2 linked regions of the Schizosaccharomyces pombe genome follow. Changing the gene in region 1 together with any one later gene gives a genetic interaction. Each region holds a gene or a part of one and is shown on either strand. Other genes may lie near its edges.

Evidence for each region.
Region 2: of erg27 (region 1) and erg26, a mutation in one rescues a mutant of the other (synthetic rescue), as found in Schizosaccharomyces pombe (one large-scale study listed by BioGRID).

Annotation. Positions count from the first base shown.
Region 1 is NC_003423.3:1,108,900-1,113,247, reverse strand, and holds erg27 (3-keto sterol reductase), read right to left. Parts: upstream 2,382-4,348; 5' UTR 2,359-2,381; coding exon 2,318-2,358; exon of another isoform or gene 2,271-2,317; coding exon 1,832-2,270; exon of another isoform or gene 1,784-1,831; coding exon 1,247-1,783; 3' UTR 813-1,246; downstream 1-812. Other genes in the region: RNase P and RNase MRP subunit Pop8, read right to left, coding at 89-203, 261-419, 461-513; tRNA dihydrouridine synthase Dus2, read right to left, coding at 2,802-3,422, 3,464-4,113. UniProt on the Schizosaccharomyces pombe protein: 3-keto-steroid reductase; part of the third module of ergosterol biosynthesis pathway that includes by the late steps of the pathway. Erg27 is a catalytic component of the C-4 demethylation complex that catalyze the reduction of the keto group on the C-3.
Region 2 is NC_003423.3:4,186,524-4,190,860, forward strand, and holds erg26 (3 beta-hydroxysteroid dehydrogenase/delta 5-to-4-isomerase), read right to left. Parts: upstream 2,243-4,337; 5' UTR 2,207-2,242; coding exon 1,184-2,206; 3' UTR 727-1,183; downstream 1-726. Other genes in the region: SPOM_SPBC3F6.01C (serine/threonine protein phosphatase), read right to left, coding at 1-371; thioredoxin reductase Trr1, read left to right, coding at 3,444-3,444, 3,744-4,337. UniProt on the Schizosaccharomyces pombe protein: Sterol-4-alpha-carboxylate 3-dehydrogenase; part of the third module of ergosterol biosynthesis pathway that includes by the late steps of the pathway.

The sequences.
Region 1 (4,348 bases):
ACAGTGTACAAAATCTACAAGTAGGTTTTAAAAGCAATTCATTTTAAATAACTAGTAATTTACATAATAATAATACAATCCTTTTTACTTATGAAAAAGGAACCGCTTGACAAGGAAAGTCTGAAGCGTGTAATACCATAAGTCTTATTTGTTCAGGTTCGCGAACATAGGATCCGAGTGCCACAAGGACTTTCTTTTTATCCCTATTATTATTGTTCAGTAAGTAAAATAGCACATTACAATTACAGTAGTTGACATACTCTTTATGGCACCTTAGATACAAAAATTTTGATTGTCGATGCAAAAAATCAATAGGAATTGCAGACCCAAATATTCCAAATGACTGATTTAGAGCTAATGTGATGAGATGTCGTAAAGAAATATCGTCTATTTCATCTATAGGGGTAGTACCTCCAACCCTAAGTATGTCAGTGAAACAAATTATCCCAGACTTCCTTACACTTCAAGTATTATATATGACCATTCGCTTTTTAAACGTTGATGAAGTACCATGGCCTCTTTTTAACTCAAAAGGAAGGCAGATCGTGTCTGGTGAAAGTTGTATAGAGAAGTAAACTTCTGAGTAAGTACGATACCAACACGTTTAAGGATGCATTTGCTGCAGTTCCTGTGGAATCTACAAGCTCGTAATTATCATACTAAAATTATCGTACCATCACATAAACTGTTATGTGAAGGCTAATCTTCGAATAATTGAGGTACTGTTTAATTATGTTTCCTGTTTTCATGCCTGTAGAAAGCAAACAGCTGAACAAAATGAGGAAGCCTTCAATTCGAAGTGTAATATTAGAAAAATTTAATAACTTGAATTATTGCTATTTTTCATAATTTAATTTTGCTGGTTGATAAAATATATCCAGATACACAATTTACGAAATGCGGTCTTATAGCTAGCATGAGACAAAGACGGCAACTCGCGGAATTCTTCATATAAACTTTTCCGAGTCCGAGGTTCTAATAAATTCGTATGTTTGTATTAACTAAATTGAGACATAAACTATATTCCAGACTTGGTTAAAATCCCCTTATCTATTCATTTTGTCAAGATATCTATACCGATTGTAGCAAAATTTGATAAAAGCAATTTTCAAAATGTTTTACTGAGAATGCAATGAATCAGGGATTGTTCTTTCATAACTCCCCTCGTCTCGTGCACTTTAAAATTAACTGGTACTCCAGATTTTTATCAAGGCCTCCGCGCAAGAGAATATGTAAATGTTTCCCTTTACGAAACCAGCTTCTTTTTCCATTCCTGGTAAAGTTTTGTCATATATTCTAAAGCTTTCTCTTGCTCTGAAGGCAAAATTAATTCCACAGGAGTAGAGAGGACTCTTTCATGACCAAAACGAGTCACGGCTGCTCCCCACTTGATAGATTGATCTTCTTTGGTAGCATGTAAAGCAGTCCAAAGAAAAGCAAAAGCAGCAACGTATGGAGAAATTGTATGCCAAGGACTTCCAAGTAAGCGACAAATATAGAAACCGAGCTTTGCACACATAACCAATATAGGACCGAGGAAAGTTTCATACATGTTAGTAGTACATAGTCCGGGATGGACAAGGTATTGTTCAAAAGGGAGTCCCTTTTCAAGTTCTGCATAGTGTAACACATCTAACAAACGCTTTGAAGATTGATAGGGTTGCTCGCCGTGAAAACATTGTAGGTCTTCAAAATCAAGGGATTTTTTTTCTGCTACTAAACTGCTTGTAAGGACTACCTTTGTTGACGAACGGAGCACTTTTAGTTCGGCCAGGCGATTTTTCTTATGTAAATTAGTACTAACATACGGAATTAAGGTGAAAAAACTTACCAAATAAAAATGACCAAAAACATTACTTTCAAATATGTAACCGAGGGAGTCATTGCTCACACGTCCAGCAGTCTCTTTGTAAAAGGTTGGATGCGTCAGTGCCTGGATAGGGTTGATCAAAGTAGAAAAGATAGCCTTTAGCCATTGAATACCTTCCAGGTCCCAAGCACCAGCATTTAGGTAAACAAAATCTAATTTAGGGAATCTAGTAGCGATATCTTGCACCGCAGCTTCCACTGATGCCATATTCGACAAGTCTAACAAAACGTATTCCAACCGTATTTTCCTATCGGGAAAGAATTCTTTCAATCTTCTACAGGCATCTTCTGCCTTTTCACGACTCCTGCATGTAAGAATTACCGTGAATACTTCGGGTTCATCTTGCAAACGCGGTTGGTAGAACTGCAAAAGACGCGTAGCTATTCCAAAACCAAGACCACTGTAATCATTAACTGTGTTGCTCTAGATATCTTAATAATATTTTACCTGTTGGAGCCGGTAATTAAGGCATATTTACGAAAACTCATTGTTAGGGCTTTACAATGGTAGTAGTAAAAATCGTTTGATATCTACCCTGGTCAGCTATGTAGTATACGTTCGAAATTACACGTCGAAGTATTTAGCTACTTTATCTTCTTTCAAAAAATTTATTAATAAATTGGTAGAAAAAATATCATTCAAAATTCAATTAACCATAAGTATTTCTGTACTAGCTTGTATTTGATCGTCATTCAATTTAATATAACAAAGCTCTCAAAACACTCTGTTTCCTAAATAATAGCAATTAAATTTTTGGATTCAACTCAATAATAATTCTAATAAAAAATGCTTTTTTCATTTATGGGAGACGATAGAATCCATGCTTCAACTTTACCAAAGCAGCGAAAAGATATAAGAATAATTTTCATTAACCAAACATGCTCAGTAAGTACTTCAAAACTATACAAAAACTTTTTAACTACACGAAAAACTAAACGACTTGAGCTTTCTCTTCTAAATCCTTTATCCTTTCTTGAATTATATCCAATGCATGTTTGCTTTGCATTGACTTATTTTCACATTCCACTACAGCTTCATTCGTATTGGAATTGATCGGCAAACGAATAGTTATTTTTTGATCGCATACAGCCTCATTCATAATAGATTCGTCTTTTTCCATGCATATGACCAGATGAGCACTAGCGATTGCAGAAGCTAGGTTATCAGCTGAAATTAAAGAAAGTGCAATTCCGTGGCACAAAAACTTCTCATGAATATCGTCTAGCTGCTTGCAAATATCTTCCTCTTCACTTACTGCAAAGATTTTTGTGAAATGAAGCCTACTTAGTTGCTTTAAAATATTGGACGCTAATAAAGACTCCAAAAAACTGGGCAAATCTACAAAAGATATAACCAATGATTTTTCTTTTTCTAAAGTAGGGCAGACCGATGAAGCATCCGAATGCTTGTATTCGATCTCAAATGCCTTCTTCAAGTCTTCATAAGTTTTAGCAGTCTGAGCGAGTTGTCGAACATTTTTCCGAAATGAACCCTGCATGATTTGATTTAAACAATATTTAGTATTCCCAAAATTATTATCAACCTCAAGAGCCTATCAACAATTAGTAATGAATAAACAAGCAAAGTACAAACCATTTTCAAAAACTCCTCGGCAACCTTAAAACTAGAAAGTGGGCCCTCTATTCGAAAACAGGATACGTTCCTTTCAGCAGCTCTGGCGATAAGCACACCGTCGACTCCATATTTCTCAATAACATCCAATCCATCATTATAGCTTAAGACATCCCCATTTACTAAGATCGAAACATCTTTATTTCGACAGACGCCTACAATTTCCGATAAATAACTACGATCTGCAGGCTCAGTATTTCGCATTGGAGTTGTACGGCAATGAACAGTGATTGCTCGAACTCCTGTATCGCATATGCGCTCTACCAATTTTAGGGTATCTTCTTTTGTCTCTAATAAACGAATTTTACAACTTATGGAAATTTTGTAAGGCTTCCCGATCTCATTCACTAGAGCATCGAGAATACTGACTAGACGATCTTGATTTTTCAAAAGGCCAGCTCCCATTCCAGCATGTACAGAAAAATGTTTGGGGCAACCACAGTTTAAGTCAATGCCTGCAACATCATTAGCTACAAGTTTTGCTGCTTCCACTGCAAGTTCTGGGGATGCACTTCCGAGTTGAAAAATCAATCGATTAGCTTCAAGCGGATGCACACGAAACAACACCTTATTGCTAGGTGGTTTAACAAAATCGATGCAATTGATCCTATCTATTTTAAATTGAGTCAATAATAACTGAATAAAATAACACAATTAGGAAGAAGAAATTTGTTTTTCAATTAAATAAATGTCAAAAAATGTAATTACACGAGTTAATAAAAAAAATAATTCATCAAATATAGTATTGAAAAACGAAAGTGCATGGGTGAACAATGTAATTACACGAGCAACCAATATCGATTTAATCCTCATCTTTCTTCTAAAATTGTAATTCATACTAACACA
Region 2 (4,337 bases), 3.1 Mb from region 1:
CGAATCCTTTTGACCAATTGCTCACATTCACGAAGCTTTTTACGAGCAGCTGGATCACTGGGTGCTAGTGCCAATGCCTTTCGGAAGTCACCGACAGCCTCTTTGGGTTGAAAAATAGCAATATGAGCAGTAGCTCGACGAAAATATGCCTTTGCATATTCGGGGTCGCATTCAATAGCTTTGGAAGCATCATTGATTGCCAGACCATAATCCTCTGACTTTAAATGTGCAAGAGATCTATTGGAGTAAAGAATTGCGTTTGTAGAATCAAGCTCAATGGCTTTTGTATACAAATCTATAGCTTGAACGATATGTCCCTCTTTTAGAAACTTGTTGGCTTCATTTTTTAATTCCAATGCTTCTTTAGCCATTTTATTGAGCAAAAAGTACAAATTCAAGCCCTTGTGAGTTTTTGTTTGGTGGTTGATAGTAGCTAAAAAAGTTTTTATCTGTCCGAACAATGCAGCTTAATAATTGGTAGTATTGGGCTACAAAGAAACAGATATTTAGGATTCTCAAAGATCAAAATGATATTTTTAGAACAACAAATTAATGGCTTTATAAATGCAAACTTTGCAACGCAGCATACATATTAAAAAATAAATACAGAATTTACACAATGTTTTACATTAGAAATCTCAAAAACTTACAAGCGTAATAAAAGCAGTTTCTATGAAGTGTGTCTATTCATTTATCTACGAAATAAAATGACTCGAAACTTATAATACATCAATACATCTCAGATGAGAAAAACTTACAAGGCAATCATTATGTAAAGGAAATAACCATTGTTTTCTAAACACAAGTGATACCGGACAATCTTCGTATAGTTCAAAGAAAGATAACAAAAGCAAACGAGCTGTATCCTTCTCGTCTCAAGCACAACGAGTAGAAAGTACAAAGAGAACGTTATATTGATGTTATTCGATCTTGTCTATATTCCAAGATACCCAAATATTTTTTTTTCCTTTTTTAAGATCTGAGCAATCATCTATCAAATGAAATGATGATATAAGTCATTAACAATTTCCAAAGCGGAAAAAAACTGTTTCGTATCGACATGCTCAAGAGGTAGAACTCATCGAGAAGAAAGTGAACTATGTAGAAATGAAAAAAGACTACGAAGCGTTAGAATTTAAAAATTAAATATTCTTTTAAAGAATAACAAGGCCAATGGCTCAATTTAATGTTTTTTCTCAGTATCCATCCAAGCCAAAGTACGACGAATTCCTTCCTCCAAATCCACAATGGGATGGTACTTCAAAACATCTTCTGCCTTTTGAATGTTAAAGTAACGGTTAGCACAACTAAATTGGACACGGAAACGTGTAAAGCCAGGTTCCTTTTTCAAGAAATAACAAACCCATTCAGCAGCAGTGGCTAAGAGCATACCCACCGGTCTAGGGAATTTGATGATATAAGGGGGAACGTGTCCTGCATGTGCCCAAATAGCACGTGCAAAGTCCCAAAAGTAAATAACCTGTCCATTGGTAATGAAAAAGACTTGGCCATTGGCAGTAGGATTACTAGAAAGTAAATTGTCCATAGCCAGAAGATGAGCATAGGCAGCGTTTTCGATGTAGGTAAAATCAAAAAGATTCAAATTATCACCCAATTGAAATTTGGTTTGTCCATTCTTTAAAACAGAAAGCATACCAGGGACGAGTTGGCGATCACCTGGACCAAATAAACCAGCAACTCTAAGGGCAGCAGTTTTTAAAGATTCAGAACTTGCCTCCAAGACTTGTTTTTCTGCCAAAGCTTTGGACTCGTTATAGGCATCCATATGAACTTCTGGGATGGGCTGGGACTCATCCACATTGATAAGGTCAGCACCATTGAAAACTACACCTGCGGAACTAGTATAAACAAGGGCATCAACATTAAATTTCTGGCATGCTTTGATGATATTCGCTGTGCCATCTACGTTCACTTCAAAGTAAATATCACGAGCAAGGTTATGCACAGGTGAAGCAGTGTGAATAACTACGCGTGGATGAAATTCCTCAAAAACACGCTCAATATCACCTTGTTTCGTTAAATCACCCGTATACATGGTGAATTGACCATGAAGCTCGTGTAGCAACTTTTCATTTTCAAAGAGATCAAATGCAGCAATTCGAAGATTTTCACGTTCGCACAGCTGCCGTATGATATGACCTCCTAAAAATCCACTTCCAATAACTAACACGGAATTCATCGGCATTAAAAAAATACAAGAATAAACGATTGTCTGGTTCTTGCCAGGTATTCGACGTTACACCATATCGAGAAATGAGTGAGCTTATTTGCTACCTGTGTTTTTGGGGTGTAGGCTAGATGCAATACACTAACCATGATTAGCGAGAAAGAGAGCAGCTGTTGAATATGGAACATGGGTTAGAGGATAGTAGCCGATTGAAACTCTATTAGTACAATATGTAGTACGCACTTAGAAAACAGAAAAATTAAGTGAGTAACATCTCGAGTACCATTACAAGAAAACGATGACCTCCCGACCTCGTACCGTTCACATCTAAAACTGGCCTATTGTAAAGCAATGCTGCGTGCTACCTTAAAGCTCGATAATGTTGATAGCAGCCAAAACCCAATTTTCGTACTTTCTTCGTTGAACGTTAAACCAATTTATTATTTATAAATTCTATCGTTATACCTTTTATCAAATCACAATATTCAGCGTAAAACATTTTTCCTCGTTGGTAACCTTAATAAATAAATTATTAAGCAGTGTTGATCGCAGGAACAGCAAATTTTTCTTTTTTGGGTTGTAAACGACTAAAATTTGTTTCCTTGAAATTACTTTTCGCAATTGTTTTTTCTAGGCTACACCAATCGCACTTGAATCATACTTGTTTTTGGTTAAAACCTTAGTAAGGCAAGTAGCCCAGCACGGCTACATTGAGAATTTTGCTTTCTGCGCGTCTCTTTGACAATTTGTTTGGATTGTGGAGGCTTAAACTCTTAACTAACAAAAACGTGGATTTTTCTTGTCGAGTTCTTTCTATTGTACTAGCATAGGTCAGTCGTCTTTCATGTACAAAGCGTCGCTTACTCATGGCTTTGGTGGTTCGTCCATTTATCGTGGCCTCACTAATTCTCGACATTCCTATACCCTCTTCTACCATGTTGGCATTAAATTTGCTTACGCGATATCGGTGTCTCGTTCTGCCACTGTTAATCTAAGCGTTCGCACTTTTACGAATGTCTCGAACGAGTCTCATTATTCATCGCTAGTAAGCACACCATTTCCCAGGGCTCTATATAAGAATCAATTTACCCACTACCACCATATCGCATTCCTTCGATACTTCAGGACATTCTTTCCTTATCAGAAATTTAGCTTCTATAAAGGCATACCCGATTCTTTTAAGAAATCTTTGAAGTTAGGATCTATTTATTCCCCTTTAAAACAAACATATTTCTCTACAAATACTCATATCAATAGTAAGTGAAACGAAAAACGTGCAGGAAATGTGACGGCGATGAAGTCGAACCCAACAAAAAAAAAATTATTACCTAAAAATAAAACTAATTCGGTGATGAATTTTTTTCTTTTTTTTTGTTGATTAGTAGGAAACTTTTTTATTTCCGAACTCACGTGTAAGATTGGGTTTCATCTGTTTTTTTATCATTGTTCGATAATGGTTATCTTGTGTTCTTTCAGCTTTTCTATCCTTCTCGCCTTACAACATTAACGTTTATCTTTTTTTGTTTTGTTTTTTTAATTTTACTGACTTCATTAGTGACTCACAACAAGGTTGTTATTATTGGGTCTGGTCCCGCCGGCCATACTGCAGCCATCTATCTCGCCCGTGGTGAGCTTAAGCCCGTAATGTACGAAGGTATGCTTGCCAACGGTATTGCTGCTGGTGGTCAGCTTACTACTACCACCGATGTCGAAAACTTTCCTGGTTTTCCCGATGGTATCAATGGTACTACCCTTACTGAAAACTTCCGCGCTCAATCTTTGCGTTTTGGAACTGAAATTATTACCGAGACTGTTTCCAAATTAGATCTTTCTTCTCGCCCTTTCAAGTACTGGTTGGAGGGTGCTGAAGAGGAAGAGCCTCATACCGCTGACAGCGTTATTTTGGCTACTGGTGCTTCCGCTCGTCGCCTTCACATTACTGGTGAGGATACTTATTGGCAAGCAGGTATATCTGCTTGTGCTGTATGTGATGGTGCCGTTCCCATTTATCGTAACAAGCCTCTTGCTGTCGTTGGTGGTGGTGACTCTGCTGCCGAAGAGGCCCAGTTTTTAACAAAGTATGGTAGCAAAGTTTATGTCCTTGTGCGCCGTGACAAGCTTCGTGCTTCTCCCATTATGGCCAAGCGTC